4 linked regions of the Stegostoma tigrinum genome follow. The protein of the gene in region 1 interacts with the protein of each later gene in a pairwise test. Links are inferred from orthologs where the notes say so. Each region holds a gene or a part of one and is shown on either strand. Other genes may lie near its edges.

Region 1 (7,792 bases):
ACCACAACATCTGCTGCAATCTTCACATATGTCCTGAACAAATGCAGCATTAAGCAAAGGAATTTCATATTCATTTACAAGTGTTTTATTATTTTGTGATTTTCCTTGTTACTGACCTGCTGTCTTCACAACACTTGCTTCCTCCCTGTCACTCCCACCTACCTGATGCTCTTTCAGATACCTCTGGCCTCTCCTAATCACCACAGAACATCCCTTTCCTACCTAAACCCCTAGCACCAGCTTCCCACCTACTCAGTCCCCTTGCACAGCTCTACCCCTTCTACCTCTAATCCACTTGCAATCCTCATCTTCCCCAGGCACCTGTGTAGATCTCACTGCCCTATTGTGTCTCCCACCCCTTTGCAGCTTTCTCACGGCTGTACTTGCTAACAGGAGTGTGCCTATCAGTTGCATGCACAAGACAGCCAGCCTGTAATGAGAGAAGCTCCTCACCATTTTCTTCCGATCTATTTACGGAAACAACTTTTCACTGATCGGTCACCACATTACTGTGTTTTCTTGTGATTAGGGAAGATGCAATCACCCTCTGCCACTACATATTTTCTGCATTGACCTGACTCTTCAAGCCTGTTCCACTATACAATTAGATCATTGCTGACCTTCTGCCTCAACGCCATTTTCCCACATTATCCAAGTGCCCCTTGATATATAGTTTATATCTAGAAATCTATCATTCTTTGCCTTGAATATGATCAATGACCAAGCCTCTATAGGTCTCTGATGAAAAAAGAATTCACCAACCTGAATGAAAAACATCATCTTAGTACCAAATGGACAACCTCTTATTTTGAGACTGTCCCCTCGTTCTACATTGTCCCAGGCAAGGAAATATCCTTCCTGCATCAACCTGTCACGTCTTGTAAATATTTTGTGTACTTCAATGTGATCAACTAAAATATAGGTCTGGTCGCCTCAATCTCTCCTCCTAAGTAAGGAATTCTGCCAACCAAGGAATCAGTCTAGTGAACATTTGCTGTAATACTTCAATGACAAGTATATCATTGCTTAGAAAAGGAAATAAAACTGTACACAATATTAAAGGTGTGGTCTCACCAAGGCTCTATGTAACTGCAGTATGACACTTTTACTCCTGTAAAATCCTGGTGAAACAACATATCAGCACTCCCAATTGCCAAGTGACCCTGCACATTAACCTTCAGTGACATTCAATCAAGGTTACCGAGATCTATTTGAACATCAACACATCTCACTCTCACCACGTAAGAAATATTTTGTCCTTCTATTTTTCCAGATGATATTCCACGTACCATGCGCTTTCAGCCTATCTAAATACTCTTGAAGCCTCTATTTATCCTCCTCACAACTCACATTCCCAACTAATCCAGTTTCATGAATAAACTTGGAAATATTAAATTCGGTCCTTACATCCAAATCATGGATGGGGACTGTGAATAGCTGGGATCCAAGCACTGATCCTTGCAGCACCGCAGTTCTCATGCTGAGAATGAGACTGAATTATAGGAAAATCATTTTTGGATTTGTGGCCACTCAAAAAGAAAACTAAGACAATTCCATATTTAAATAGATATACGACTGTAAACTGTGCATTTCTTAGTGTGCACAGTTCTGCTGCCTTTGAGGTTTCAGATTGACCTAACCATTCATTACACAGAATTTTTAGCACAATAACAGACTATTTAGCCAACTAGCCTGTAGCAGTCCACATGAGCATCATCTCATCCTTCTTAATGGCATCACATCAATATACCTTCAATACTCACTGCACTAGCCTATATTTAAGTAACATCTCTTTAACACTACGTGTCTCAGTTACTCCTCATAGAGTTAAACATTACACAAACTCTAAAATTAAACCTGCCAATGTCAAGATCTGAAATGAAAACAAAAATTGCTGGAGAAACTCAGCAGCATATCTAGCAGCATGTGTGGAGAAAGCAGAGGTCACTGGATTCGAAACGATAATTCTGTTATCCCTCCGTAGATGCTACTGTAGATAATAAAAACCGAAAACAACTGCGGATGCTGTAAATCAGGAACAAAAACAAAGTTGCTGGAAAAGCTCAGCAGGTCTGGCTGAGGGGAAGGGTCACCGGACACGAAACGTTAACTCTTGTTTTCTCCTTCACAGATGCTGCCAGACCTGCTGAGCTTTTCCAGCAACTTTGTTTTTGTTGATGCTATGTGTATGCTGAGTTTCTCCAGCAATTTCTGCTTATGTTATAGTAAAATCACTTCTTAGTAATTTGCTCGTGAATGCTTTGTTGAATATACGAGTACGTGGAGCCTAGTTTTGAACTCCCTCGATGATGTTACTCCATGTTTATTCTCTCTCTCAGTTCAGCCTTCCCTTCCTGAATTACCTGCAGGAGTCCAGGAAGCGACAGCTCCCACTCAGGTAGAACGGGCAGGGCTTCATGGCTCTCTGTGTGGGGTGGATCCACAGGACACGGACTGTGGGCTCGGGTGGCTGGTCAGCCTCCACACCCACCACCATGGCGTTGTGATACTGCAGCGGGCCCCAAGCCGAGCGGTACGGAGCCCGCACCTTGGCGCCGCTAATATCCCCAGCCTCAACCTTAGTCTCAGCCTCATCGCCGCTCCCCGGCTCCTGGTCGGCCTCCCTCAGAGCCGCCTGGAAAGCGGCGTATTCGGCGTCGAGCCCTGACTGGTCCTCGGGCTCCGGCGGCGAGGCGCCTCGCTGCAGCTGCTCCAGGAGCTGGCTCTTGCGGACCGACAGGAGGCTGGACTCGGTCAGGGCGACCAGCTGCTGTAGGTCGGCCTGGAGCTGCAGCAGGTCCGCCTGGGCCTCGGCCTCAGCTTGGGCCCCGGCTCCCAGCGCCGCCTCCACCTGCTGCAGCTGGGCCTTGTACACCTCGATGGCCGCCTCCAGACTCGCCTCGTCCATGACCAGCGCTCCGGAGCCGCACTGACAGCGATCAGAATCGTTCAGCTCCCGCCGCCATGGCCAACGAGAACAATAACTCCGGAAGGAAAAGACAGTGAACAACCTCTGACCTGTGGCTGGGCTCACGCTGGAAAAATAGTTCAGTTCGCAACCGGGAACATGGGGAACATTATAAGTCCCACTCTCTTCTAGTTCCAAAATCTTGCATTTTTAGCCTCCATGGATCATTTTCATTATTTGCAAACTTTAGGTGTCATCTACTTTTATTTTTCTTAAATTTCTGCCCACTTTCTGTTTTAACACCCCCCCCTCTCGTATTTCATTAAATAAACTAAAGTTCGTTTAAACGGCATTTTTCCTGTTCTCAGGACACCCCTAAACACTAATCACTGAGTACTTTCTGTAAGTGCACTGCCGTGTTTTCAAGGCAATAACACAGCAAGATACCGCAAACAGCCAAGAGATAAAAGCTGTGTTCCAAATGGAAAACAGAAAAATGTGGAGCATCAATGAAAGGAACAAACAAATTGATGGTTTGGAAGTTAGTGTTTCAGCAATACTGATCAATTAATCTGTTTCCAAGGGACTAAATTTAAAAAAAACTTGTGACTGAAAATTGTTTAATCAAGGAATAAATGTTCAGCTAGGACAACATGAAGGATTTCTGTTCTTTAAACAGATAAGCCCGATTATATCAGAGATAATGGGAACCGCAGATGCTGGAGAATCCAAGATAATAAAATGTGAGGCTAGATGAACACAGCAGGCCAAGCAGCATCTCAGGAGCACAAAAGCTGACGTTTTGGGCCTAGACCCTTCATCAGAGAGGGGGATGGGGTGAGGGTTCTGGAATAAATAGGGAGAGGGGGGGGGGGCGGACCGAAGATGGAGAGAAAATAAGATAGGTGGAGAGAGTATTGGTGGGGAGGTAGGGAGGGGATAGGTCAGTCCAGGGAAGACGGACAGGTCAAGGAGGTGGGATGAGGTTAGTAGGTAGATGGGGGTGTGGCTTGGGGTGGGAGGAAGGGATGGGTGAGAGGAAGAACAGGTTGGACTGGTTTTGGGATGCAGTGGGTGGAGGGGAAGAGCTGGGCTGGTTGTGTGGTGCAGTGGGGGGAGGGGACAAACTGGGCTGGTTTAGGGATGCGGTGGGGGAAGGTGAGATTTTGAAACTGGTGAAGTCCACATTGATACCATTAGGCTGCAGGGTTCCCAGGCGGAATATGAGTTGCTGTTCCTGCAACCTTCGGGTGGCATCATTGTGGCACTGCAGGAGGCCCATGATGGACATGTCATCTAAAGAATGGGAGGGGGAGTGGAAATGGTTTGCGACTGGGAGGTGCAGTTGTTTGTTGCGGACTGAGCGGAGGTGTTCTGCAAAGCGGTCCCCAAGGCTCTGCTTGGTTTCCCCAATGTAGAGGAAGCCACACAGGGGGATTGGTTTCCCGATTATATAATTCTTTTCACTACTGCCAGCTTTTTATTTCTAAAATTTTTAAAATAAATTTAAATTAACTTATCGTCATTATGGGTGGGATTTTCAGTATTTTTCTGGATTATGAGTCTAATATCATAACCACATTACCCCTTTTATTTCATTTCTTTATTACTGAAAACCTATATAGTTCAATATCATTTCCTTCTCAGATGCCATTTTAAACCAAACCTGTCTCCTCAGGTGGCATCAAAGGTCCCTGGTGGGCACTACTCAAAGGAAAGCAAAGGTCCTTCTTTTGCCCTGACAAACATTGTAGACTTGAACAACACCACCACAAATGATTATCTCCATTCATTCGTTTGTTTCTATCAGATCTTAGTGTATACGAGTTATCATTGTATTTACCTTTCCAATAATTCTAATCTTCAAAAGTCAACAATTGGTTATGAAGCACTTTAGAATTTTCTGAGTACACTGTTAAACTGAATCCCGAGAGGTGAATTCCTCACTTCTCAGCTCGGAGGTTGGTTTCATTAGTTTGAATTTATAAAGATTCTTTTTCTATTCAGCATATGCTTGACTGTATGTAAAAACTATATGAAAAATTAAGCCAGATGGATTTCTTGAACCAACAAGGCTTATACTTGAGTTTATAATAAAACTAATTGAAAAACTAAAACTCATTCTGAATCCTGCAAAATATATATGCTGACTTGCAGTAGCATCCAAAAAAATGTTAAAAGGACGGTAAAGATGAAGTTGTCGGGAATCCACGAACGTATTCCAAGGTTCCTTTGGCAGTCTTGATGTTTGGATGGTATTACAGCTGATTGTTCTACTAAAGATAGTCTCTTTTAAAATGCAATCCATCCTTTTCCAGAGTGGGTGCAATGGCATTTTGAAGTTTCTTTTTAAATTCTCCATCTGTGTGATGTATTCCAAATTGTAACAATGATATTCTCTGCAGCTTGAGGCAGAAATATTCAATAGACATAGACCATTCATTTTGTTTAGTTTATTATTGCATAAATTGCAGAGTACACAATCAAGCCATTCAGCCCGAGAGGTACATGCTCCGACCATCTCAATGCACATTAAAAGCACAACTTTCTATTCATTTTTTCCCTCAAATACTTACCAAACCTTTGTTGAAATGTGTTTACTGCATTTGCCTCAAACATTTTTTCGGTCAGTATTTCCATGTGCTAACCGCCGTCAGGAGCGGGATTTTTCTTCATTTCCCTGATGGGATTATAGCTCTAATTATGGTCTCTCCCATATGTGGAAACATATCCATGTCAGACCTACGCTGAAGTTGTATTTTTTCAAATGTAGTTTTCAGGGCATATGCATTTTACGATATTATGTCACGCACAAGATGAATCTGAAAAGTGTCATTTAAAAATCTATAAACTGACAACTTCTGGGGTGAACTTAACAGTTGCAACCTTTAACAATTAAAAATGGCAGATGACTCGCCCTGCGCATGTCCACCTCATTTCCGCCCACCCGCCACTGAAGGATTATGGGTATTGTCGTTTTAATGCCCCCGCCCTCATTCAGAACAAAGCGACAGAAAAACTACAGCATTTCGATGCCTAAGGGGCGGTCGAAGATCCGGTTTGTTCAGGCGAAACTTCCGCTTTGTGTCGTTTCCATAATTTGGAGCCTGGTACATAACAGAAGGATTTAAATGGATTTAAAGGTCTAAAGGTAAGAGCTCCGTTTAGTAAGCGTTATTGGTCGCGAAAGGGTGACTCTTGAATTGAAAGCCATCGTTCTAGAGCATACAAGAGACGATGAGGGATGTTCAAAAGTTTTATACTTCGTTGCTGTCATTAAATCCAGAGCTTGACAGATTATTTCATGAGCGACAGTGCCTTACGTTTCCAAACACGAATAATATAAACCTTTATAACAGTGTCCTGTTTCTTTTTTTGGGATCGTGTTCCTGTGAAACAAAACATATAGTACACTATTTGGAATAGCAAGAACTGTAGATGCTGGAGTCCTGAGGAAGGGTGTAAACCCGAAACGTCGACTTTCCAGCTCCTCTGATGTTGCCTGACCTTCTGTGTTCCTCCAGCTCGACACTGCATTGATTATAGTTATTTGGAGCTTTGGGATGTAATTTTGTGTGTCATAGAGAAATACAGCTTGAAAACAGACCCTTTGGTCCAACTCCTCTGTGCTGACCAGATATCCTAAATTAATCTAGTCCCATTTGCTAGTATTTGGCCCACGTCCTTCTTAAATCCTTCCCATCTGTTTACCCATCTGCATACAATTACAACATTTAAAAAGGTATCAGCCTCCACCACTTCCTCTGGCAGCTCATTGCATACACACAACACCCTCTGTGTGAAAAAGTTGCCCTTGAAGTCCCTTTTAAATCTTTCCCCTCTCACCTGAAACCTCTGCCCTCTAGTTTTAGACTCCCTCACTGCAGAGAAAGGCCCTTGTCAATTCACCCTATCAACATCTCTTCTGGTTTTATAAACCTTTTATAAGGTCATTCCTCAGTCTCCAATGTTCCAGGGGAAATGGCCCCAACCTGTTAAGCCTCTCTCTATGGCTCAAACCCTTCAACCATGGCAACATTCTTGTAAATCTCTTTCTGAACCTTTACCAGTTTCAAAACATCCTTCTGTGTTATTATGTTCTTCCTCATGTATTGACCAAGATTAAATGGTGCCTACTTTAAATGGGTGCAGAGTTTGGAAGATAATTAGATTTCCTGTGATGTTAGCCAAATCATGCTCATTAGCTAAATATTTGACGTACAGGTTTCAACCTCCTATGTTCCAGTGGAAAAAGGTCCCAGTCTTTCTAGCCTATTTTTATTACTCAAAACCTCCATTCCTGGCAACATCCTGGTAAATCTCTTCTGAATCCTCTCCAATTTAATAATATCCTTCTGATTACAGGGTGACCAGAACTGTACACAATACTCCCAAAAAATGCCTCACCATATTTTTGTAAATCCTCAATGTGATGTCCCAACTCCTGTACTCAAAAACGCTGAGCGATGAAGGCAAGCTAAATGCCTTAACTACCCTGTCTACCTGTGACTCAAATTTCAAAGAATTATATACCTGAACCCCTTGGTCAATCTGTTCTCAAGCACAATGCGAGGCCCTACCTTTAATTGTATAAGTCCTGTGTGAGAAGTGCATCTTTCTGAGAGCCGGAATGGTAGCTAAGTTGTTAGCATTGCTGCCTCAGGTGCCAGAGATCTGGGTTCATTTCCAGCCTTGGGTGACTATCTGTGTGGAGTTTCCACATTTTCTCTGTCTGTGTGGGTTTCCTCCCAGATGTGCAGATTTAGTGGGTAAGCCATGCTAAATTGCCCAGAACCTGGGGACATAGTTTTAGGGTGAGGGGAAAAAGATTTTAAAAAAGACATTGGGGTGGCAAATTTTTTCAGAGTGGCTTGTGTATGGAAT
Region 2 (7,511 bases), on another chromosome or scaffold:
CAAGAACAGCAACTCATATTCCGCTTGGGAACCCTGCAGCCCAATGGTATCAATGTGGACTTCACCAGCTTCAAAATCTCCCCTTCCACCACTGCATCCCAAAACCAGCCCAGTTCTTCCCCTCCCCCCACTGCATCACAAAACCAGCCCAGCTCGTCCACTCCCCCCACTGCATCCCAAAACCAGCCCAGCCTGTCTCCGCTTCCCTAATCTGTTCTTCCTCTCACCCATCCCTTCCCCCCACCTCAAGCTGCACCTCCATTTCCCACCTACCACCTCATCCCGCCTCCTTGACCTGTCCGTCTTCCCTGGACTGACCTATCCCCTCCCTACCTCATCACCTATACTCTCCTCTCTACCTATCTTCTTTTCTCTCCATCTTCGGTCTGCCTCCCCCTCTCTCCCTATTTATTCCAGAACCCTCACCCCATCCCCCCCTCTGATGAAGGGTCTAGGCCCGAAACGTTAGCTTTTGTACTCCTGAGATGCTGCTTGGCCTGCTGTGTTCATCCAGCTTCAGACTTTGTTATCAGGGTAACTAGCCAAGGTCCTTTTCATTGGGTGGGGGCTTCCAAAACTAGAGGGCAAAAGTTTAACGTAAGAGGGAAAAGATTTAAAAGGACCTGAAGAGTAACTTTTTCCACGCAGAAAGTGGTGAGTGTATGGAAAGAGCTGCCAGAGGAAATGGTGGAGACTTAAAAGGCATCTGGATGGATATGACTGGAAGTATTTACAGAAGTAGGCAAAATGGCGGCAAATGAGGCTAGGTGAGATTGGGATCTCTGGTCAGTGTGGACAAATTGGGCCAAAGGCTCTGTTCCCATGCTGTATGACCCTATGGCTCTAAGTAAGCAAATTAAAGAATCGGCTGATTATGACAAGTACAGGTTCACCGGGTAGAGGTTAGGGATTGGTTGGACCTCTGATCATGGAAGAGCCTGAGCCTTTCAGGTTATTCTGTTCAGCAATGGATATGTGAAAGAATTTATGAAAAACGGAGATAGTTACATTCATTGCCACTGGAAACTTAGCAACAATTGTTAGTCTTTCTACTTTCCTTTTAAGTTTGGCACATTTCTTTTGAGGCTGGTGATTTATGCACTTGCAAAGATGTTAAACCTTTCAGCATTTCCGCCCTTGCTGGGTCTATACTCACATTCCATAGTCCAAATCAACTATTATATTTAAATTGCCTCCACCTTTTATGAAGACAGATAAAATGTATTAAGAACCATGTCCAAATCTTCCATCTTTACACACACTGAATATAAATTTCCCTCCACAGGTACTATCTGGCCAACTGAGTAACTACCAACATTTTATATTTTTCTTTCAGATTTCTGAACTTTCATAGTATTTTGTTTTCATCAAGGATGCATGTCTTGCATGATATCAGGACAGATCCAATTATCCCCACTGTAACTAGATCTTTACTTCCACCTGCTGGGGAGAATCAGCTGGTCACAATACGTCTGACAAGCTACTAAGTGGGCCTGCAACACATATAAAAATCTTAAAAGTATTTGTTCATGAAGTAACACTATGAAATAAGAGAGATAAAACCAAGAAGCGAAGAAATTCAGCAGGCCTGGGAGCGTCCATGGAGTGAAAAACAGAGTTAACATTTTGAAGCCATTACAGCTCTTCTTCAGAACCGTTGTGAAGACTAGTGTTTGGAAAGGTGGTTATGGTCACAATGGATTTGAAACATAAACTCTTGTCTCTTCACAGGTGCTGCTATACCAGAGTTAGAATCATAGAATCCCTACAGCGTAGGAGCAGGCCATTCGGCCCATTAAGTCTACACCAACTTTTTGCACAGCATTCCACCCAGACTCACCCCTTACCACACCCCTGCATTTCTCAGCCTAGACACTATGGGCAATTTAGCAAAATCAATCCACCTAACTTGCATATTCTTTGGACAGTGGGAGGAAACCTATGCAGACACAGGGAGAACGTGCAATCTCCACACAGACAGTCACCCAAGGCTGGAATCAAATCTGGGTTCCTGGCACTGTGAGGCAACAGTGCTAACCTCTGAGCCACCAACAGTTTTTCCAGCATTTTCTATTTTTATTTCAGACCTCTACCATCCTGTGTAGTTTTCTTCTATCCAAGACAGATGTAGGAAGACAGCAAAGCCAATTTTTAGTGGTACATTTATTCATGCATGTTGCAAAGTCAGCTGTGCGCCTTAAACAGCAATTTAGAAGTATTTTTGTTTCTCCACACTGGTGCCTCAGCAAGCTTTATTCTGCCCCCCGATGCTGCCTGGCCTGCTGCGTTCCTCCAGCTCCACACCTTGTTATCTAAGACTCCAGCATCGGCAGTTCCACTATCCCTTCTTCAAACTACAATATTTTCAAGCATTTCTCTTACGAAGTCTTAACTTAAAAATGAGCAATATCTATTCATATTAACTGCAAGACCGATGAAACTGTAGTCTCACAGGCAGTGGTGTATCCTGTTGTAAGTAATTATTATGTGCTGAAAGGGGAAAAAATAACAATAGAAATTCAAATTTAGCTTTTCCATTGCACTGAAACGAACAATAAAGGGGCTGGGAGATGCAAGAGTTTGAATACACCAATGCAAGCGGTTACCTGAACGAAAACAATGAATAATTGCTGCCCATCAGGGTTGGTCGAAAACTCACCCCTCCTGCACAGCAACAGGAGCATTTGGGGGTTGGGGAAATACGTTTCAACCAATTGTGTTTTTTTGGAGGGTGGAACACTCCCATCTCTCATTGGTCTTTCGTTCACAGCCGAGCCGGTTGGGTAACACTAAACAATCCCACGTTTCCCTCCCCTCCTCGTTTCCGGCCTGGGTTCGTACCTACCTCCCAGAGCGAGAATCTGGGCCTTCCGGCAGTGACCCCCCTTAGTAACGGTGCCTGTTTCCGCCTCTCCTGCCGGAGCCGGTCCAGGTCCTACTCCCGGCAGCGACAGTCGATAAACTTGTTTCTTGTTGAAGTCGCACTTGGATGTGGGGTGGAAATTTTTAATGTGGGACACGGGTATAATATGATGCACTTGGTCCTGCAGGAAGCGTACGCAGGCGAACATGTTTGTTGAAGGGCGCCGCCAATAACAGTATCAGCAGCAACTGCTGCTGCTGCCGCCGCCGCCACCTTTTCCTTCTCCTTCCCCTCAGCAGACTGGCTCCCAGTAGAGCGGAGAGGAACACAATCCGGATCGCAGGCTCCACCGCGAACCACCACCCCCTCCAGCAGCTGGCTGCGCCTGACGTCACCGACAGAGGCGCACCGGCGCCAGCAGCAGGAGGTAGACTCGGACTGTACCCCAGGGCAAACGTGCTCTCACTGATTCCAGGCTCTGCGTTGTGTACAGCCGACCCGGTGGGCAGTGAATAACGCTCCAAACATTCCGCGTTTGATATATATGCAATTTGTCGCAGCGTACCCGTTTACTGTCTTGATTATTATAATATTTTGCAGAATAGGGTTGTTTCACATGTTGGACAAGACTCACCGTAGGATGAGGTAAAAAGCGCATGCACCAGACCAAAGGTTAAGAGAACTATAAATAAGATTCACGAAATAATGCAAACTTTACCGAGCACATCGCTCGAAACACAGCGAATATCCAAGACAAATACTGTTACGAAGAAAACTTTTAATGCGCATGGCATAAATGTATACGGTAGTTTGGAAAAAAAGTTTTTTGTAATTTTTTGGACTCATTGAGATGACGATAATTAACATTGGATAATTTGCATTTTTATTTTGGGAATTCACACATGACTGCAGCCGAAAGCCAGCGTTTTCTATCTTGTCGGAAGAGCACACGTACTTATAAATCTGAGATGTTCCCTTTCCCGAACTACAAGAATTATGATGTCTTAAAATCTGTAATCTCCTAGCTTTACAGCCCTTCACAAGTTAATGTCATGCATTAGGGTCAGATTTGTGCTGCGGAAGTACAGATGTTTTTAAAAATTTTGGGCCATGTGTTAATTATTCTCCTCCTAATATTTCTCTTAAAAGGTGGTGAAGCGTATAAGAATTTTGATGGCATTGAGCGAACAGTAACGTATTTGGAAGTTACGATGGTACGAATTGAGGAAACTTAGGTCCAGGCCTGAAACGTCAGCCTTCCTGCTCCTCTGATGCTGCTTGGCCTGCTGTGTTCTTTCAGCTCTACACCTTGTTATCTCAGATTCTCCAGCAGCTGCAGTTCCTACTATCTCAAAACAGCTTTTAGGTGGTTATGTTCCAAAGTGTCTACTGCCTTTTTGAGCAGTTAAAGTCACAGGTTTGGATAATGTTATTGAAATCTGGATGATTACTGCAGGGCACCTATAAGACTCTACTTCGACAACAAAACAGTGCATATGACAGAGTAAATTTTGACGTTTAATGTTTGACACTTTCAGGATATTATTCTGGGAGGAATTCCAGAGTGGGTCCCAGCCAGGTCCACTCAGTTTCTTGTTTTTTTCCTTTTGTTTGGAAAACTATAAAGTGAGTGAATTATGTTGTATGCACTTGATTTTTGTATGTTATTATAAATTGTTATGCACATAAACAATGCAGGAGCTTGCTACACCAAATGCCAATTAAAATTTATTAGGTGCCAAAAATACCACAAATGGTGCTTCTCATGAGCAGGAAGTGAACATGCTTTATCCTTTAAAACAGTGATCCTCTGTCAGTCCTGTGTGCACATCAATCGTGCTTCAGTGCCTTGCAGCTTAAACTGCAGACTCTTACCAGGTAGTTTGTTGAATCGTGTTTTTCAGTTTGATCCAGATGCAGAGTACGGTTAACTTTTTTATGGGGCAATGCAACAATTGAATCATAAATATGCTCAGAAGTGATGTGTGAAGCTAGTATATTACTGCACTAGGAATATAGGAAGCTATTTGGCCTTCTCAAGTCCGTGCAAACTCTTGGCAAGGGCAGCTTAACTTACCTCCTGGTAACCATGTCGGATAAAGAGCCCTTCATAAGGAAGAATAACGCAAAGCATTTTACAAAGATAATAAGATTCCAAGCCCAAAATTATAATGGTCAATAAGGCAGATAACAAACAAATGATCAACAAGGTACATTTTTAATGAATCTGTGGGATGTCAGATGCAGAGTCATCAAACTAGTTTTGTGGAAATTTTCCCAAATTCGAAGCTTAATGTTGTTACAAAACTTCCACTAAAAAAGTGCTATCCTCAGACAAATTTTCTACCGTAGCTAGGTTTTTTTTACATCAATCTGAAGTAAGGATTGTGATATGGAAAATTCAGCCAAAAACAAAAAGAATATTGGATCTTTTCATTGTTTACAATGATATTATGACACCAACTTGTAGAGGTGGTAGCATTGTGGTTTTTTTTTTCCACTTATGGGATGTAGATATCACTGGCTAGCCAGCATTTGTTGCCCTGGAGAAGGAGGGGGTGAGCTGCTGCCTTGAACTGCTGTGGGCTGACCCACAAGGCCACTGGACAAGAAACCAAGAGACTTAGACTAATGTTCTGGGGATAAGGGTTTGAATTTCATCATAGCAGATAGAATGTAGAACATTACAAGTCAGGAACAGCTCTTTTGGCCCACCATGTCTACAGCAACTATTTTGCTATTCTAAACTAATCTCATTTGGCTGTATATGGTTCATACCCCTCTACTCCTACCTGTTTGTGTGTCTGTCTAAATGCCTGTTAAACTTGGCTGATGTATCTGGCTCTACAACCTCCCCTCACTGTGCATTCCAGGCACCTACATCCTCTGTTTTAAAAAAAAAAGCATTCTTGACAGACGTCCCTAAAACATTTCCTCTCTAACTTTAAATTTATAACCCTTCATATTTAACATTTCCACCCTGGGAAAGAAACTGAGTATCTGCCCTATCCATACCTTTCATAATTTTTGGATATGAATTACATCAGTATCCAAGGAGTTTCGAATGGTGCTGAACATTGGGCAATCATCAGTGAACATCCCCACTTCTGACTTGAAAGTAGCTGAAGATAGTTGGGCCTAGGATGCTATCCTGAGAAACTCCTACAGAGCTCCTCCCTGGAGCTGAGATGACTAATTTCCAACAACCATGAACGTCTTTCTACGTATCAGTTTTGACTCCAACCACCAGTGATTTTTGACTCTGATACCCAGTGATTCCAGTTTTGCTAGGGCTGCTTGATGGTACAGTCAGCTGAATGCAGCCTTGATGTAAAGGGCTGTCATTCTCACCTCTAGAATTCAGCACCTTTGTCCATGTTTGAACCAAGGCTGTACCCGCATTCACCACTTCCTCTGGAAAGCCAAAGGACCTATTCTGTGTTGTAATGTTCTATGTTTTACACACAAACCACACTGTGTAGAAAAAATTGTCCCTTGTGTCTTTTTAAAATGTTTCTCCTGTCACCTCAAAAATATGTCCTCTAGCCTTGAAATCCCCCACTCTAGGGAAAAGATACTTGCCATTCACCTTACCTATACCCCTCACGATTTTATAAACATCTGTATGGTCACCCCTCAACCTCCTACACTACAGTGAAAGAAGTCCTAGCGTACCAACCTCTCCTTATAATCCATTCCCAGCAACATCCTGGTAAATATCTTCTGAATCCTGTCCAGTTTAATAATAATCTTCCTATAACTGAGCGATCAGAATTGGAGACAGTATTCCAGAAGAGGCCGCACCAATGTCCTGTATGACCTCAATGTAACATCCCAAGTCCTATACTGAAAAGACTGAGCGATGAAGGTAAGTGCACTAAATGCTGTCTTAACCACACTATCTATATATGTGATACAAACTTCAAAGAATTAACAAATCACAGGTGTCCCAACTGTGAATGAATCTCTTCCCATGCTTGGCACAAGTTAATGGTTTCTCCTGGTGTGAACTCACTGATGTTTAGTTGAGATGATAGCATGAACCCATTCACACACCAGCCAGCTATTTCCACCTCGGGAACATCACCCTATCCACCCGAGACTCAGATCCTCTGCTGCTGAAACTGACATCCATTCCTTTGTTAGCTGAGTATCTAAAACTCTGCTATCCACATGCTCAATTGTACCAAGATAAATACCATCACTCCTGTGCTCCCTGACCTACAAAGATTACAATCTATAAACAAAAACATTTTAAAATTCTTACCATTGACTTAATTCCTGGCTGTGATCATCCTGACCTCCCCACACCGTACAACCTTCAAGACTTGGACAACTCATTTAGTTTAAGACTCCAATAATATGTTTATGCACTGCTTCACCATTGGTGGCTCAACAGTCTGGAATTCCCACCCTGAACGTCTCAGGTTTGCTTTCCTCCGTTAAGATATTCCTGTAAACCCACCTATTTGGCAATAGCCTCTCTGATCAAGGGTCTAGGCCCGAAACGTCAGTTTTTGTGCTCCTGAGATGCTGCTTGGCCTGCTGTGTTCATCCAGCTTCACACTTTGTTATCTTGGATTCTCCAGTATCTGCAGTTCCCATTATCTCTGATATTTGGCAATGCTTTCGGTCACCTGACCTACTA
Region 3 (8,042 bases), on another chromosome or scaffold:
TCTGCTCTCTCTCATATATCTTGACACCTTCAGCTTTCAGAAAACTACCATTTATTTCTTAATTATATTCAGTGGCTTTGCCTCCACAGCCCTCCTCACCATTTGAGTGAAGAAACGTCTCACCTCAGTCCAATATGGTCCACTGCGTATCCTGAGAGTATGATCCCATTTTGGATCCCCCAGGCAGGGCAAAAAGCATATCTCCATCCAGTCTATTCAGCCTGTTAGCACTTTGTAAATTTGAATATATCCCCTCCCATACTTGCCAACTGCAATAAGAACATGCGCAATTTGGCCAGTCCCTCATCATATGACAAACCTGCCATCCCAGATCAATGAAACTTCATTACAATTCTCAAGACGATAAGAAATGCTTGCCATTTGGCCATCTCCATCATTCAGCAGGATCATAGCTAATTTGACACACATGTCCACTTTCCTGCTTTTCCCCCAGGAATATTGATTCCCCAACAAATCATAAGGCAAGCTAAGCCTTAAATATAAACAACGACTCTGCACCTGCAGCTCTCTGAGATGAGTTCCAAAGACACTTAACATTGAGGAAATTCCCCCTCATTTCAGCCTTAAGTTGGTGCCCCTTTATTCTGAGATTATGCCCTCTGATCCTCAACTCTCCCATGAGGGTAACATCCTCAGAATTTACCATCAAGTGATGAGATCGCCTCTCATTCTTCTAAATTCCAGTAAGTCATCTACCAACTGGTTTAGCTTTTCCTCCTAAGACAATGCATCCATTCCAGGAATAATTCTGGGGAACATCTGACCTGCTGCTAATGATGTTATGTATTTTCTTTAATGAACAAAACTGCTCATAGTACTGTAAATGTGGTCTCACCAGCACCTTGTACAGCTGCAATAGGATTTGTCTACTTTACACTCCAAACCCTTTGAAATAAGGGCCAACATTCCATTAACCTTTCTGATCACCTGCTGCATATGCAGCTTTCCGTGTTTCATGCAGAAGTTCTCCAAAATCCCTTTGTTTTGCAGCATTCTACAATTTTTCTCTATTTAAATAATACTTTTGTTCTCCCTTTGGAAATAAACAACTTCACATTTTCCCACATTACATTCCATTTGGCAACATTTTGCCCACTCACTTAACTGATCAATATTGTTCTGTAAACTATTTTCATTGCTCTTTCAACTTGTCTTTCCACCTATTTTTGAGTCATTTGCAAATTTGGCTTCCATACAAATGCTTCCTTACTCCAAGTTATTAATATAACAATTGATATCCTAGCACTAATTCCCGTGGAACCACACTGATTACAGGTTGCTCCCTGAAGGAGAGGCCCTTATTGCTGTTTGCTGCCATCAACCAATTCTCCATCCATGCCAATATACTACTATTAACACTGAGGATTCTTAACATTTGATTTAACCTTTTGAGAGGTCCCTTGTCAAACTCCTTCTGGATGTCCATACACCACATTGACTGGGTCTCCTCTGGTTCAGACTTCGTCAAAAAACTAATACATTAGAATAGACATGGTTTCCCTTTCATGAAACCATGCGGATTTGGCTCAATGAAATTAGGATTTTCAAAATGTGCTGCTATTGCTTCCTCAATAATTTATTCCAAATTTTTCCAACTATAAATGTTGGGCAAATTGACCTAGAGTTACCCACTTTTGCATCTCTTCCATTTTGAATATGGGTGTCACCTTAGCAATTTTCCAGTCCTTCGGCACATCTCCAAAATCAAAGGAATTTTGGAAAATTACATCACTATCTCTGCAGCTACATTTTCTAGGAATTTGAGAATGCAAAGCATCATGATCAGGGACTGATCTGCCTTTAGCCACATTCGTTTGTCTGATATTACTTCTCTAGTGATGAGAATAAATATATCTTTTCTTCCCTTAGGGACAGCAAAGCTAATGACAGTACTCTAGGCACGGTCTCAACAAGGCCCAACACAGCTGCTGTAAGATATCCTTACTCCTCAGTTCAAACCCTCCAACAAGAAGGGCAATCATATAATTTGCCTTTCTAACTACCTACTATATTCGCTTGCTTGTTTTCAGTGGCCACATGTACAGTTTTTTTTAGCTTCATGGAAGTCTTTGACTCAATCAATCATGATGGCTTATGTGTATCCTTCTAGAATTTGGGTTCCCTCAAATTTGTCAACATCCTCTGCATGCTGTATGGCATGCAAGCCAGAAATGGAAGCCAGTAAAGGAAAGCACATATACTACACATCAGAAGAAATAATAGATAGCACACCTATTCCATTAATGTTACTGAAATTGCTCGCAATTAAATGAAATTTGGAACTCTGAACAAACCTGATATTTAGCATGTGCAATATCATAGAAACTAGACTTCTTTCATTTTAGCAACTTGCCATTCCCTGCTCACGATGTGGTCTATTGTATCCTGGCAAAACTAAATACGGATTATAGGGTCAAAGAGTTATACAGCATTGAAACAGACTCTTCGGTAACTTGTCCGCACCAACCAGATATCTGAAACTGGTCTAGTCCCATCTGCCATTATTTGACCCATATTCCTCTAAACTCTTCCTATTCATGCATGCATCTACGTGACTTTTAAATGTTGTAACAAACCTGCCTCCACCACCTCCTCCTCCTCCTCCTCTGGCAGCTCATTCCAAGCATTGCACCACTGTCCCCATGAAAAAGTTGCCCCTCAGGTCCCTTTTAAATCGTTTCCCTCTCATATTAAGCCTATGCCCTCTGGTTTTAGACTCCCTTTCCTGTGAACAAACCTTGGCTATTCATCCTATCCATACCTCTCATTGATTTTCTAAACATCTATAAAGTCACCCCTTAGTCTCCTATAATCCAGGAAAGCAATGGCTCCCACTTAAACTCAAACAGTCTAATCCTGACAACAGCCTTGTATGTCTTTTCTGAGCCCTTTCAAGTTTAACAGCATGTTTCCTTTGGCAGGGAGATCAGAACAGAAGGCGATATTTTAAAAGTGGCCTCAACAACATGACATCCCAATTCCTACTCAAAGTTCTGACCAATGAAGGAAAACCTGCCCAATGCCTTCGTTTTGTGGGATATCCCCTGCAGCCCTCAAACGTGTCCCTGAAATTCAATCTGTCAACCATTTTAATTCTCTATTCACAACCATCTTGACATCTATTCTGTTCAAGTGAAGTGCATTTTCAATTGGTGTTTACAGAACAACGTCTTTTGTTTAGGTACTTTATAGCTTTCTGAAATTAACATGAGTTTAACTATTTTAAACCATAACCCTACCTTCATTTTTAGTAAGACATCAGTTGAAATTAATTTTGCAATCGTCATTTACACCCATAAACACATTTTTCTTCCTTTGTTTACTCTATCTCCATGTTCATTTTTCCTCACATCATTCCTTCTCAGCATTTCATTTTTGATTTTTCTTTCGCAGTACTTCCTTATTGTCTGTCACTCCTCATTTTTTCCTCAAAAAGTGTCCGTTCTGATGAAGGCTCATAACAAACACTACCTGTTTGTTTCTAGTGATGCGGGAAGGTCTGTTTTATATTTATAGCAAGGTGTAGAGCTGGATGAACACAGCAGGCCAAGGAGCATCAGAGAAGCAGAAAGGCTGATGTTTCAGGCCTAGACCCATCTTTAGCATTTTTTGCTTTTCATTTCAGATATCTAGCAACTACAGGAACAAAAACAAAGTTGCTGGAAAAGTTCAGCACATCTGGCAGCATCTGTGGAGAAGAAAACCAGGCTTAATGTTTCAGGTCTGGTGACCCTTCCTTAGAACTGATGGTGGCTGGGAAAACATCAGTTTATATGCAGAAAATAGGGAGGTGGGTGGGGTAAGGAGTAAACGATGGGATAGAGCCCAAAGGGAGAGAAACACATGTGGACAGACAAAGGAGCTGCTAATGATCAGGTTGGGAGGGCGAGTACTTGTTAATGGGAACTGTTAGTGACTAACCACAGTGGATGTGTAATGGCAGGCTATGTGGTAACAAGGCCTGGTGTGTGGGGTGGGGGGGTCTGGGACATGAGAGAGTTTAGGCCCTAAAATTATTGAACTCAATATTGAGTCCAGAGGGTTGTAGGGTCCCCAAGCAGCAAATGAGGTGTCGTTCTTCCAGCTTGCATTGGGGTTCACTGGAACACTGTAGCAAGCCGGAGTCAGAGATGTTGGCCAGGGAGCAGGGTGATGCATTAAAGTGGCAAGCAACAAGTAGCTCAGGGTCTTTTGTGCGAGCAGAATGTAGATGTTTTGAGATAAGGTCGCCAAGTCTACACTTAGTTTTCCCACAAGTCTACACTTAGTTTTCCCCATGTAGAGGAGATCACATTGTGAGCAGTGAATTCAGTAGACTAGATTCCTGGAAGTGCAGGTCAAGTGTTACCCGTTGCCTGCCACTTCAATGCACCACCCTACTCCCTGGCCAACATCTCTGTCTCCGGCTTGCTACAGTGTTCCAGTGAAGCCCAACGCAAACTGGAGGAACGACACCTCATTTGCCGCTTGGGAACCCTATACAGCCCTCTGGACTCGATATCGAGTTCAATAATTTTAGGGCCTAAACTCTCCCACGTCCCAGCACCCAGGCCCACACACCAGGCCTTGTTCCCACATCGCCTGCCACTGCACACCCCCTGTTGTTAGTCATTAACAGTTCCCATTAACAACTAATCACCCTCCCAGCCTGATCATTAGCAACTCCTTTGTCTGTCCAAATGCGTTTCTCTCTCTCCGTGCTCTATCCTATCGTTTACTCCCTATTTTCTCCATATAAAGTCATGTTTTCCAGCCACCATCCGGTCTAAGGAAGGATGGTGGGACTTCAGACGTTAACACTGGTCCCCCCACCCCCCCCCAAACACAGATGCTACCAGACGTGCTGAGCTTTTCCATCAGCTTTGCTTTTGTTCCTGATTGACAGCATCTGCAGTTTTTTTGGTTTTAAATCCAGCAACAAGTTTAATTAACTTTTACACTGGCTGCTCTGACTTGTATTATTTGAAAAACAAGCCGCACACTAGCAAAAACGTAACTCGTCTTTTCTTTCGTTTCAGATACTAACTGACCTGTTGTACTTTCTGCCTACACTGTTCAATTTACAGATGACCGTAATAATCTGTGGTGGCGGCCGCAACCAGAAAGCACGGCGTGTTCAGTTTCCAGGAAAAATTAAATTAAGTTTGCACGGCGATAGAAAGTGTCAGCACAAACTTTCGATGAAATGAGACTCGTCGCTTCTCATTTGTCAAGCAGTGGATGACAAACAACTGCAATATTGTCTGTGACGACGAACAAACAGTATACGCCGCCCTAAACAAGGAACACGATTGTTCCAGAAAGCTGGCAGGTGACGATTTCTCGTGACCCGGAAGCGTTGTGTACCGTCGCTCGAGACCGTATTCGAATGCTAGACGGTTAGCATAGCCTGTTGATACTGCGAGCAGAGGGGATTTGGAGCAGGACTGCTGCGGTAGTGATGAGCTGCAACCAATATAAGTTAATCTACAGGGTCAGACAGGTTTTTTTTCGCTGCAAAGTTTCGTGTTTGCGATAAGTAAATGACAGCGAGTTTGGATTTATGGCGTTATTTAGTTGGGCAGGGTGGGTTGGTGGATGGCGAGAGAGATGGAATTTTGTGTTGTCTGTTCGTAATGGTAGCTCTCTATGCCTTGCCTTCAAAATCAGGGTAGTTGTAATCCTGTATCATTGGTGCCCTCGATGAGAAAACTAAACGATTTTACAAATAAATTAATTCGGAGGTCCGGAACACTTTGCTCGCTGTAACAATACTTAAACATAGTATACAGCGATAGCAAACATTTGCTTGTTGCAATTGACATATTGGGGTGGGCAGAATGATAGATGCCTGGTTGGTTTTCTCCTTTAATCCTACAGTTGTTAAACAAAGTTAATGATGTAACATTGTATGAATATGTGGATTTTGTTCTGGTCTAACTTAACAACAACATTGATTTGAGTTAGGCCATCTGTGCAATATTGTTCAGCTTGGTAAACATCTTGTATTAATTGGATCATGAATGGTTTGCTAGTTTGTTTGCTTTTTTGGACTGTTGTATTTAAGGTATTTTTGTTTTGGAAATATTTCCATTATGGGTATTGGAATGGCAGATTGCTTTGGTTCAAAACAATTAATATTGTGACATTTTTAAAACCCTTCAGTACTTATAGTTCATCAATTGTTGAACCAGTGAAGTTTTGTACAGTTGTCTAACTTTTTTCAAAAGCTTTCTGCTAAAATTGAACTTTAATGTTTGTTTTTGCATGAATATTAGCCATAGGATCGAACAATGTGGAAACAGGCCCTTTTGGCCCAACAAGTCCACACTGAACCTCAGTGCATCCCACCAGACCCATTTCTTTCTCTTCCTTCCCCTGTGTGCCCTCCAACCCACCTAAGCTACACATCCCTGAACGCTAGGTATTTTAGCATAGCCAATCCACCTAACCTGCACATCTTTGGACTGTGGGAGGAAACTGGAGCACCCAGAGGAAACCCACACTGAGAATGTGCAAATTCCACATGGACACCCGAGGCTAGAATCAAACCTGGGTACCCAGTGCTGTGAGGCAGCAGTGCTAACCACTGAGCCACCATGCTGCCCATATTAATTGAGGCAATTTTTTTGGAGCCATTAGAAGTCATTGCATTTGGCAAATATATCACTGACTTACTCAATGACTTAAAATAGCAAAAAATGCAATTGATTTCAAAGTGTAGAACAGCACAGTACAGGCCCTTCAACCCTTGATGTTGTGCTGACCTGCCATACCAATCTGCAATCTGAAGTCCAGGTGCTTGTCCAATGATGACTTAAAGTTGGTGAATCTACTACTGTTGCAGGCAAAGCATTCTATACCCTTCCCCTTACTGAATAAGGAAACTACCTCTGACATCGGTCCTATTATCTTTCACCCCTCAATTTAAAGCTAAGCCCCCTTGTGCTTGCTGTCACCATCTGGGGGAAAAAGGCTCTCCCTATCTAACCCTCTGATTATCTTGTGTCTCAATTAAGTCACCTCTCAACCGTCTCTCTAATGAAAACAGCCTCCAGTCCCTCAGCCTTTCCTCGTAAGACCTTCCCTTGATACCAGGTAACATCCTAGTAAATCTCCTCTGTACCCTTTCCAAAGCTTCCATATCCTCCTCATAATGCGGTGACCAGAACTGTACGCAATACTACAAGTGTGGCCACACCAGAGTTTTGTACAGCTGCAGCATAAAAACCACTTTTGTGGTGTTCTGGCAATGTATTCCATTCTGGCACAATATCATTCTAGTTCAGTCATATTTTGTGAAGTCTTGCCATAACTCCTTCCTTTGTACTCTGCCATGTTTCAGAACTGTATCCTTTTTGTGTATGCTCTTTCCTCAGTCTTCCTATCAAAACTGACTACTTAGCTCACATCAAATTTTATTTGCTACTTGTTTTTTCATTGCACAAGCCTGTCTTTTGTAATGTATCCTTGCTGTTCAATACTTGAAAGATTTTTACTGCTGCATATTTTAAAATTGTACTTTGCACATCTAGGTTATTAACATTGTTCATCAAAAAACAAGTTTCCATTACCAACCTCTGATGAAACCCTGGGGAGGCAGCCATGTCATGTCTGTTAGTAGAACCCCCAGAATCCAAAGCTAATGCTTTTAAGTACATGCATTTAAATGGCAAAATTGGAATTCAATTTAAAAACAACTGAAACTAGGAGTTAGCCTCATGGCAGCCACAGTTGATTGTCGTAAATCTATCTGGTTTTTTAGTATCCTTAAGGAAAAGAAATCTGCTGTCCTTAGCTGAACTTGGTTGCATGTGATTTCAGATTCACAGCAATGTGGCTGACTTTTAACTACCTAAGATGATCCTAGCAAACCACTCGGATCAAAAGACAACTAGAGATGGGCAATAAAAACTGATCGAGCTTGCCAAGTTATGGCTGCCTCCTGTCCAAACTTCAGTTGCCTTGCTTCCTGTCAGTTGGACAATTTGTATATGTCACCACTTATTGCATGAGCTTCAACTTTGCTGACAAGCCTAATA
Region 4 (7,716 bases), on another chromosome or scaffold:
GCACCTGTGCTAAGGTCACGACAAATGACCACACCTTACAATTGCAAAACACTTCAACTCCCCCTCCCACTCCCTGTACGACACGTCCATCCTGGGCCTCCTCCAGTGTCACAATGATGCCATCCGGAAACTGGAGGAGCAGCACCTCATATTCCACCTTGGAAGCCTACAAATCAATGTGAACTCTACTAGCTTCAAAATCTCCCCACTCCGGCCTCATCCCAAGATCAACCCTCTCCCTCATCCCCACCTTCTTGACCTGTCCATCTTCTCTCCCACCAATCCATTCATCCCACCTCACTGACCACTCCCCACCACTATCTACCTGCTATCACCATTCCACCTACCTTCCCCAGGCAATCCCCCACCTATTTATTTCAGAGCCATCTTCCCCTCCTCCAGTTCTGAAGAAGGGTCCTGATCTGAAATGTCTGCTTTCCTGCTCCTCTGATGCTGCCTGGCCTGCTGTGTTCCTGCAGCTCCTCACTGTGTTATCTCTGACTCCAGCATCGGCAGTTCTTACTATCTCTGAGTGGGTTATCATTGTCTGAATCAGATGGTTGCAGGTTCAAGTCCTGCCTATGCACAGAATTAATATTGATGTTCCCAGGGCAGTATTGAAGAAGAGCTGCACTTTTCGATAAGATGATAAACCACAGCCCTGCCTTCCTTTTCTGGTGGATGTAACTGACTCCATGATGCCACTTGAAAATAAGCAGGACAGTTTGTCATAGTCAATATCCATTCCACAACTAGCATAATTAAAAGTACTCATGGTCGGTAATATAGTTGTTTTTGAGAGAGTTTGTGCAATTGACTACTGTGTTTGCCTAATTAACAACAGTGGTAGCATTTAAAGGCAGTTGGTTGGCTATGGATAGCTTTGGAATGTTCTGGTGATGTAAAGGGTGCTATATAAGTGTAAAGTTCTGTAAAGGTTCAGGAGCACTTTAGCTTTAATCCACTGAGCTATCAGTAGAGATTGATCATGCTTAAAACTAAGTCTAAGCATGGGATAAACTAGTTCATTGCTTTGTGGCTTTGAAGAAGACAATTCACTGTCTTGCAGATATTATGACTATTTTGTTTCATTTTTCAATTCACTTTTCTTTTGCTCCTGGGGTACCAGTGCTTCCATAGTCATCCACATCAGCGCTACTGATAAAACTCAGTAGTGTACTGTGAATTAAAGAAAGCTAAAATGAATGAAAACTACTTGTAGTCTCGTTCAATGATAATTCAACAGAAAGCAGGGGTTGAGTTGGGTGCGGGTGGAGAGAAAGATTGACTGAATAACATTGTGAAGCCGTCTGTGGGGGAATAGGATCTCATATTCATAGCAAGACACAAGGTCAAAGTCCAGTGAAACTAGGCTGACAGTATTAGGACAAATGAAAATTTCTAGAAAATGCTGCAAATATAAAACAGGTCAGTTGGTATCCGAAAGAAGACAAGCTATGGTTTCTTGTGGTACTTGATTTCAGAGCTAGGATGCTCTGGCATGGATTGGTATTACACAAATTGGGGGCCAAGGGATATATTCTTCATATTAAAAGATGCAAGTTTGAGAGGATGAATAAAGGGACTGGACATATTGTTTTGTTAACACCCAGATATTAATGCATTCTGGTTACAATCAACAGTAAATTGTGTAAAATGTTGCAGAATTTAAAGCATGACTTTATTTATGCTTGGGTTACAATGTATGTTTGTTGCTATGTTAAAAAGAAAATTGATTAAAATAATTCTATGGCTTGGGTCTCACTGCTCCCTTGTAAAGTTTAAGATGCCAACCTGCACACTGTGCAAATAAATGCTGCTCCATTTCTTGTCAATGGATGATGATTTTGACATTAGTGAATGTGGAAACGATGAGTAACTCTACACAGATTCACTTATTCTAGCCAAACTAACTAAGCAGAGTGAAATATTTCATTCAAGCAGGAAATTATAACATCGCCAAGGTTAATACTCCTACTTTTCAGGCACTAGGAGACAGAACTGTGTGATTCAAAACTCAAAACATTAATAATGATCCTGATATCCCATGCAAAAAAATATAAATACCATAATGTTTAAAATCTTAATGCTGTGTACTCTTTTGGCAACTTTTTCTATTGTAAGTTCCTTTGACCACTTGTTCAAAGAGAAATGCTCATGTTTAAAAATGCAAGGCTCCAGTTAAACCTGACATCACAGGCAGGTGGGTATCATCAGGTCATAGAGATGTACAGCACAGAAACAGGCCCTTCAGTGCAACTCGTTAAAGCTAACCAGATATCTTAAATTAATGGAGTCCCATTTGCCAGCATTTGGCCCAATTCCCTCTAAACCCTTCCTCTTCCTTTACCCATTCAGATGCCTTTTAAATATAGTAATTGGACCAGCCTCCACCACTTCTTCTGGCAGTTATTTCCATGCACAGAAACAGACCCTTCCTTGCACACACCACCCTCTGCATGAAAGAGTTGCCCCTTAGGTCCCTTTAAATTTTTCCCTCTCACTTAAACCTATGCTCTCTAGTTTTGAACTCCCCTAACCTGGGGAAAAGACCTTAAATGTTCATCTTATCCATGCTCCTCATGATTTTATAAATTTCTTGTTGTCACTCCTTAGCCTCCGACTCCAGGGAAAATAGTCCCAGCCCATTCAGGCCCTACCATTCAGGCCCTACCTACAGCTCAAACCCTCCTACCCTGACAACTTCCCTGTAAATCTTTCTGAACCCTTTCAAATTTCACAGCATGTTTCCTATTGCAGGGAGACCAGAATTGAATGCACTATTCCAAATATGGCCTAACTAATGTCGTTCACTGTAGAACATGACTGTCCAACTCCTATACCTAATGCACTGACCAATAAAGGAAAGTGTACCAAATGCCTTCCTCACTACTCTGTCTACCTCATTCAGCAACAATCTCCAGGACCTTACCATTATGTGTTTCAAGTCCAGCCATGATTTGCCATACAAAAATGTAGTACCTCACATTCCAGTGTGACGAGTTTCTGTAGGTACCAGTATGGTTTTGATGATATTGGCTGAGCAATTACATTGGGGGTGAGATTGGGGAGACTGAAGAGGATATAGGGTGGGAATCCTTTCTGTTTTTCATCAAAAGATGGCATTGGGAATTTTGCACCAATTTGAGAAAGTAGGTAAGGCTGTGATTTAATGTCCTGTCTGAAGAAGGGTCCTGACCCAAAATGTCAACTTTCCTGTTCCTCTGCTGCTGCCTGGCCTGCTGCGTCCTTCCAGTTCCACACTGTGTGGTGTCTGACTCCAGCGTCTGCAGTTCTTGCTATCTCTAAGTAGCAGCCTTGTTGCCTTACCAGACCTTGACATATACAAAGTCAACTCATACTCTGGAGTGGGACTTGAAAAGTCTTAGAAGAAGGAGTGCTACCCACTAAGCAATGTCTGTTTCCCAAGCACTGGTTAAAAAAACCCTTGAATCCAATCTAGCAAATGCATAATCAGCACCCCATCCTCCACTTAAACATTCACTTCGAACACTTTCAGCTCACTGCGGTGAGGTATGCCGCAGTGATACATGCAGCCAACCACACAGTCTCATTTGACAGTGCCTTCTGACCTGTGACCTCTACCATCTACAGAGAAAAGGGCAACAAAGGTACACGGGTACAGCATCATCTGTAAATTCCTTCCAATCAACATTACCCTGATTTTAAAATATTATCATTCCCTCTGTCGCTGGGTCAAAATCTTGGAACTCCCTTCAGAACAGCCCTTGGGTGTAGCTACACTAATTGGACAGCAGTGGTTCAAGAAGGCATCTTCTTGGAGATAAGGGTTTCAAGGTCAAACGCTGACCTAGTCAGTGACGTCCTGAAATGAATTTTTAAAGAGGATATAGGGTGGGAATCCTTTCTGCTTTTCATCAAAAGATGGCCTTGGGAATTTTGCACCAATTTGAGAAAGTAGGTAAGGCTGTGATTTAATGTCCTGTCTGAAGAAGGGTCCAAGACATCAACCAACACCACAACAGCTGGATCCATGATTATACGGCTCCACCACAATGAAATAATTAACAACGTTAGTGTAGGATCTAATAAAAGCAAAAATAGAAATTGCTGGAGAAACTCAGCATGTCTGGCAGCAACTGTGGAGCGAAAGCAAAGTCCCAGTGCCCCTTCGTTGAAGGTTCTGAAGAATGTCTGCTTTTGTTTCAGATTTTTAGCGTCTGCAGTTCTTTATTTTATTCTAATAAAATCAAAATACTGCAAATGCTGGAGATCTGAAAAAAAAACACAGAAAATGCTGGAGATACCCAGCAAGTCTGGCAGCATCTGTGGCCACTGAAGCAAGGTTAATGTTTCCAGTTTCAGGATGAACGCGCGGCTGGGTCTGGCTGAAGATCTTGAATCAGATTCACGCTTTCCAAAAAAGGGCACTACCGGTCACGGTGGCAGTGCGGACGCAGTGATTGGTTGTCATTTGAATTGTTACAATGAAAGGGGCGGGGCCCTGGTGGCCGGGCGGAATCCCCGCGTTTGTAGTGCATTAGGAGCTGGCTTATAGGCACATAGTGCCACGTTGCGTTAGTTTTATAGAGGCATGGAATAAATGTTATGAATGTCCAAGCTCATCAGCAGCCGCAGCCGGGGTACAGTTACGTTATTGAGCTTTTTTCCAAGCCGGTACTTTTCTTCCTAACAAAAAAAAAGCAAGATGTTAACTGACAGCATAATAGAGGATTTTGAACGCCGGGAGGAGGAACCGTGGTACCAGCAACAGCAGAATATGGAGCACGGTGAGTTTAAAGTTTAAAGGCGCTTCTCCAGGTTGGAGTTGGTTGACAAGCACCAAGAAAATAGATTGCACGCTGCCAGTTTTATCCTTGCCTTGCTGGTAGATACAGCTGATGAGGGAGATCTGAAATGAAAAACAAAATAATGGAACCAGACATCATCTGGAGAGAAAGAAGCGCTCAATGCTATAAATTTGTGACCTTGCATCGGCACTGTTCTTAAGAATCTTTCTCCTTTAATCTGTGTCTAGCCTGAACCGGGACGGAGGGAAATAATAGCGCTGTTCCCACCCAGTTGACTCGGCTTTTGTGAAAGAGACGAGCACAATGTCTGTGTTTCTTATTCGCAAAGGCCAAGTAAGTTGTTTGTTAATTACAGCCTGTGAACATTGATAAAGGTGTTATTTCCTGAGCAGTGGAGTTTACCGCAGTCGACGTGTGCAGAGCATCAGGAGGCCATTCGGCCAACCGTGTCTTTACTGGCTCTTCTTGAGATATCCATCGAGTTCCCTTCTCATTCACCACAGCTCCCATTCGAAATTTATTTTGAAAATAAATTTTACTTGTACGTTTGCGAGACAAACACCATATCTGGCGAATTTCGTTTCAGACTGCTGTAGAGGCCGGGGTGGGGATTGGTTAGTGGCTCTGTCGCCGGGAGTCCGGCATTGACCTCAGTGTTTGGCGTGGCCTGGCTATCCCGCAGATCTCCGGCCCCTTTCCCGCTTCCCTTGCTGTGTCTGTGTCTGTGGCTGTCTCTGTTTCTGCCTCCGTCTCCTTGTGTGGTGTGTCTCTCTCTCTCTTACACAGCGCGCCTTTTCTCAGTGGCTTGCCCTGGCGAGAGCTGTCGCCATAGAAACCTTGTCCTAGTGAGAGGCTGATCTGCTCTAATCGAAAACCATCCCTTCCCTCCCTCCCCTGGAGCTTTATCTGAATCCCAACCCGTTATTTAACGAGGAAAAGTTGGCTTCCGCTTGGATTAAGAGAACTGGCAGTTTGCCTCCAACTGGACTCTGAGGTGGGAGTTCAGGCTGGCGGAGAGGCTACTTGGCCCCTCGCTTCTGTGCTGGCTCTTTGTAAGAACAAGTTGTGTCACTCCCATGTTCCCTTCATAACCTTACACGTTTCTCCCTTTCCGGAATTTCAAATTGCCCTTCTAGAGTAGAATCTCCTTTTGTTTCTGCTTCGGGGGGGACGGGACACAGAGCTGCTTTGTTAATTATCCTAAAACTGCCCTTTACTAATCGGCCCTCTTGCCACTAGAAATCATCTCTCCTTTTATTTACTCCATCAAATCTCCTCCTCATTATCAGGAAAATCCTCTTAAGCCTCCTCTTCACCTTTGTGCAGAAAGTAGAAACCTTACAATATCTAGACGGGTTTATCACGAGTGTTTTGACAATGCTAAGCCGCTACACAAATCTGAACCTGCCTCTTTGGGATATTTCGAACGGAAACACTTGATACTTGGAAGATATGGACAACGATTTAAGTATGTTTCATGCTGTAATATCTACATGCGCCTTGGGAGTAATATAGTACTAACAACGAGGGGCATCTCTGGATGTGTCCACTGCTCATAATCTGTTGTTCAGGCTGTGTCCTTCCGTTTAACTGATTTTTGTCCATCCATCCATCCAAAGATTGTGACTTTAGACCCCCTCCTCGGAACTCCCGGTGACATGGTTTATCATTAAAAATGAACTTGGCTGATGGGAATTAGTCCACCAGGCTGGTGAGAAATTGAGGTCCTCATATGGACAAGCTGTGGGGTAGGGCCAGCCCATCATTTGGAGTGGGTCCCAGGCTGATATTTGCCTAACTTGCTTTCCCCAGTGTCTCAGAGACAATATGGAAACAAATGTGTTTTTTACTTGCTCTGGAATACACACAGAAACTCATTTAAAGATGTCATAAAAGACTTTTGAGAGATTGGAATTGGAAGGACAGCTTCAGTTCCAACTAGGACACAGCATTAAAATCTGCTGAATAATAAGAAAAAGATGCTCTTTGAAGCACTCAGCAGTATTATCAACATGGGTTCCCATTTTCTTTGTTGCATCCTCCTATTGAATCAGACAATGAAATGAGATTAAATCAGGAGACTCCACGGTCTAAAGGAAATCAAGGACTCTTCACTGTAGACGTCCAAGCAACAATCAGGCAAAACAATTAAAAAGCCATTGAAAAACTGGCAATATGTGATGCTAACAGAGGAATATAGAATTTTTGTTTTGTGGGGTGGGGTTAAACTAGCTGCACAAAGCCAGGCCACATTTGTTTCCTAAATTTATGGTGATCCTGATACAGCAGTTTACAAACCCTCCAAGAAAATCATTTTTAAGTGGTAATCTGGTTGAGTCAGTGGGCAGGACCAACAGTCTCTGATTCTGTCTTTTTGTATCTTAGATCAGCCAAAAGCACTGGCTAAAATTCAAGTGAAATGTATGTGGAGTAATGTTGTAAGAGACTGGGAGTTGTAATTTACCCTGCATTTAACTTAATTTTGTTTGTGTGCTGTTACTGAACGATGTTTGAAACACTCACCACATCAGACAATATTAGAGAAATGAGAGTTAAATTTCACGTCTTGCAGTTTCTCCACAGATGCTGCATGGCACTTCCAGCGTGCTCTGTTTCTCTTTCAGGCTTATCATATTTTTGTTTTTGTTTTGCCCTTTTACCAACCTTTTCTCTAGTGACCTGATTGCCTGTCTGCCTTCAGTGCTGTAGTTATTGGATTCACTGTCCCATGCTGTTGAAATCAATATTTTTGCCAATCCTGACTGCTTCTGTCGCATGCTTTATACTTTTGTGGTTTAAATATGCCACTAAAAGGAAATAAAATCGCATTTATGTTGTGCCTTTCTTGAACTATCTCAGTTTTTAAGCAACGAATGATGTAGTTTTGAAGTTGTAGGGAATCTACGTACAGCGTAGGTCTTGA

Evidence for each region.
Region 2: the proteins of zgpat (region 1) and BEN domain-containing protein 5-like interact in binary tests that used the Homo sapiens proteins (3 or more experiments, as listed by UniProt). The two-hybrid records come from large-scale screens. The link is inferred for Stegostoma tigrinum from reciprocal best matches to the Homo sapiens genes ZGPAT and BEND5.
Region 3: the proteins of zgpat (region 1) and mipol1 interact in binary tests that used the Homo sapiens proteins (3 or more experiments, as listed by UniProt). The two-hybrid records come from large-scale screens. The link is inferred for Stegostoma tigrinum from reciprocal best matches to the Homo sapiens genes ZGPAT and MIPOL1.
Region 4: the proteins of zgpat (region 1) and cdr2a interact in binary tests that used the Homo sapiens proteins (3 or more experiments, as listed by UniProt). The two-hybrid records come from large-scale screens. The link is inferred for Stegostoma tigrinum from reciprocal best matches to the Homo sapiens genes ZGPAT and CDR2.

Annotation. Positions count from the first base shown.
Region 1 is NC_081372.1:35,392,730-35,400,521, forward strand, and holds the start of zgpat (zinc finger CCCH-type with G patch domain-containing protein), read right to left. Parts: upstream 3,007-7,792; 5' UTR 2,909-3,006; coding exon 2,364-2,908; intron 1-2,363. UniProt on the Homo sapiens protein: Transcription repressor that specifically binds the 5'-GGAG[GA]A[GA]A-3' consensus sequence. Represses transcription by recruiting the chromatin multiprotein complex NuRD to target promoters.
Region 2 is NC_081358.1:13,504,292-13,511,802, forward strand, and holds the start of BEN domain-containing protein 5-like, read right to left. Parts: upstream 3,254-7,511; 5' UTR 3,072-3,253; coding exon 2,846-3,071; exon of another isoform or gene 2,785-2,845; intron 1-2,784. UniProt on the Homo sapiens protein: Acts as a transcriptional repressor.
Region 3 is NC_081363.1:57,567,624-57,575,665, forward strand, and holds the start of mipol1 (mirror-image polydactyly gene 1 protein), read left to right. Parts: upstream 1-4,843; 5' UTR 4,844-5,332; intron 5,333-5,359; exon of another isoform or gene 5,360-5,494; intron 5,495-8,042.
Region 4 is NC_081376.1:34,248,322-34,256,037, reverse strand, and holds the start of cdr2a (cerebellar degeneration-related protein 2), read left to right. Parts: upstream 1-4,512; 5' UTR 4,513-4,690; coding exon 4,691-4,772; intron 4,773-7,716.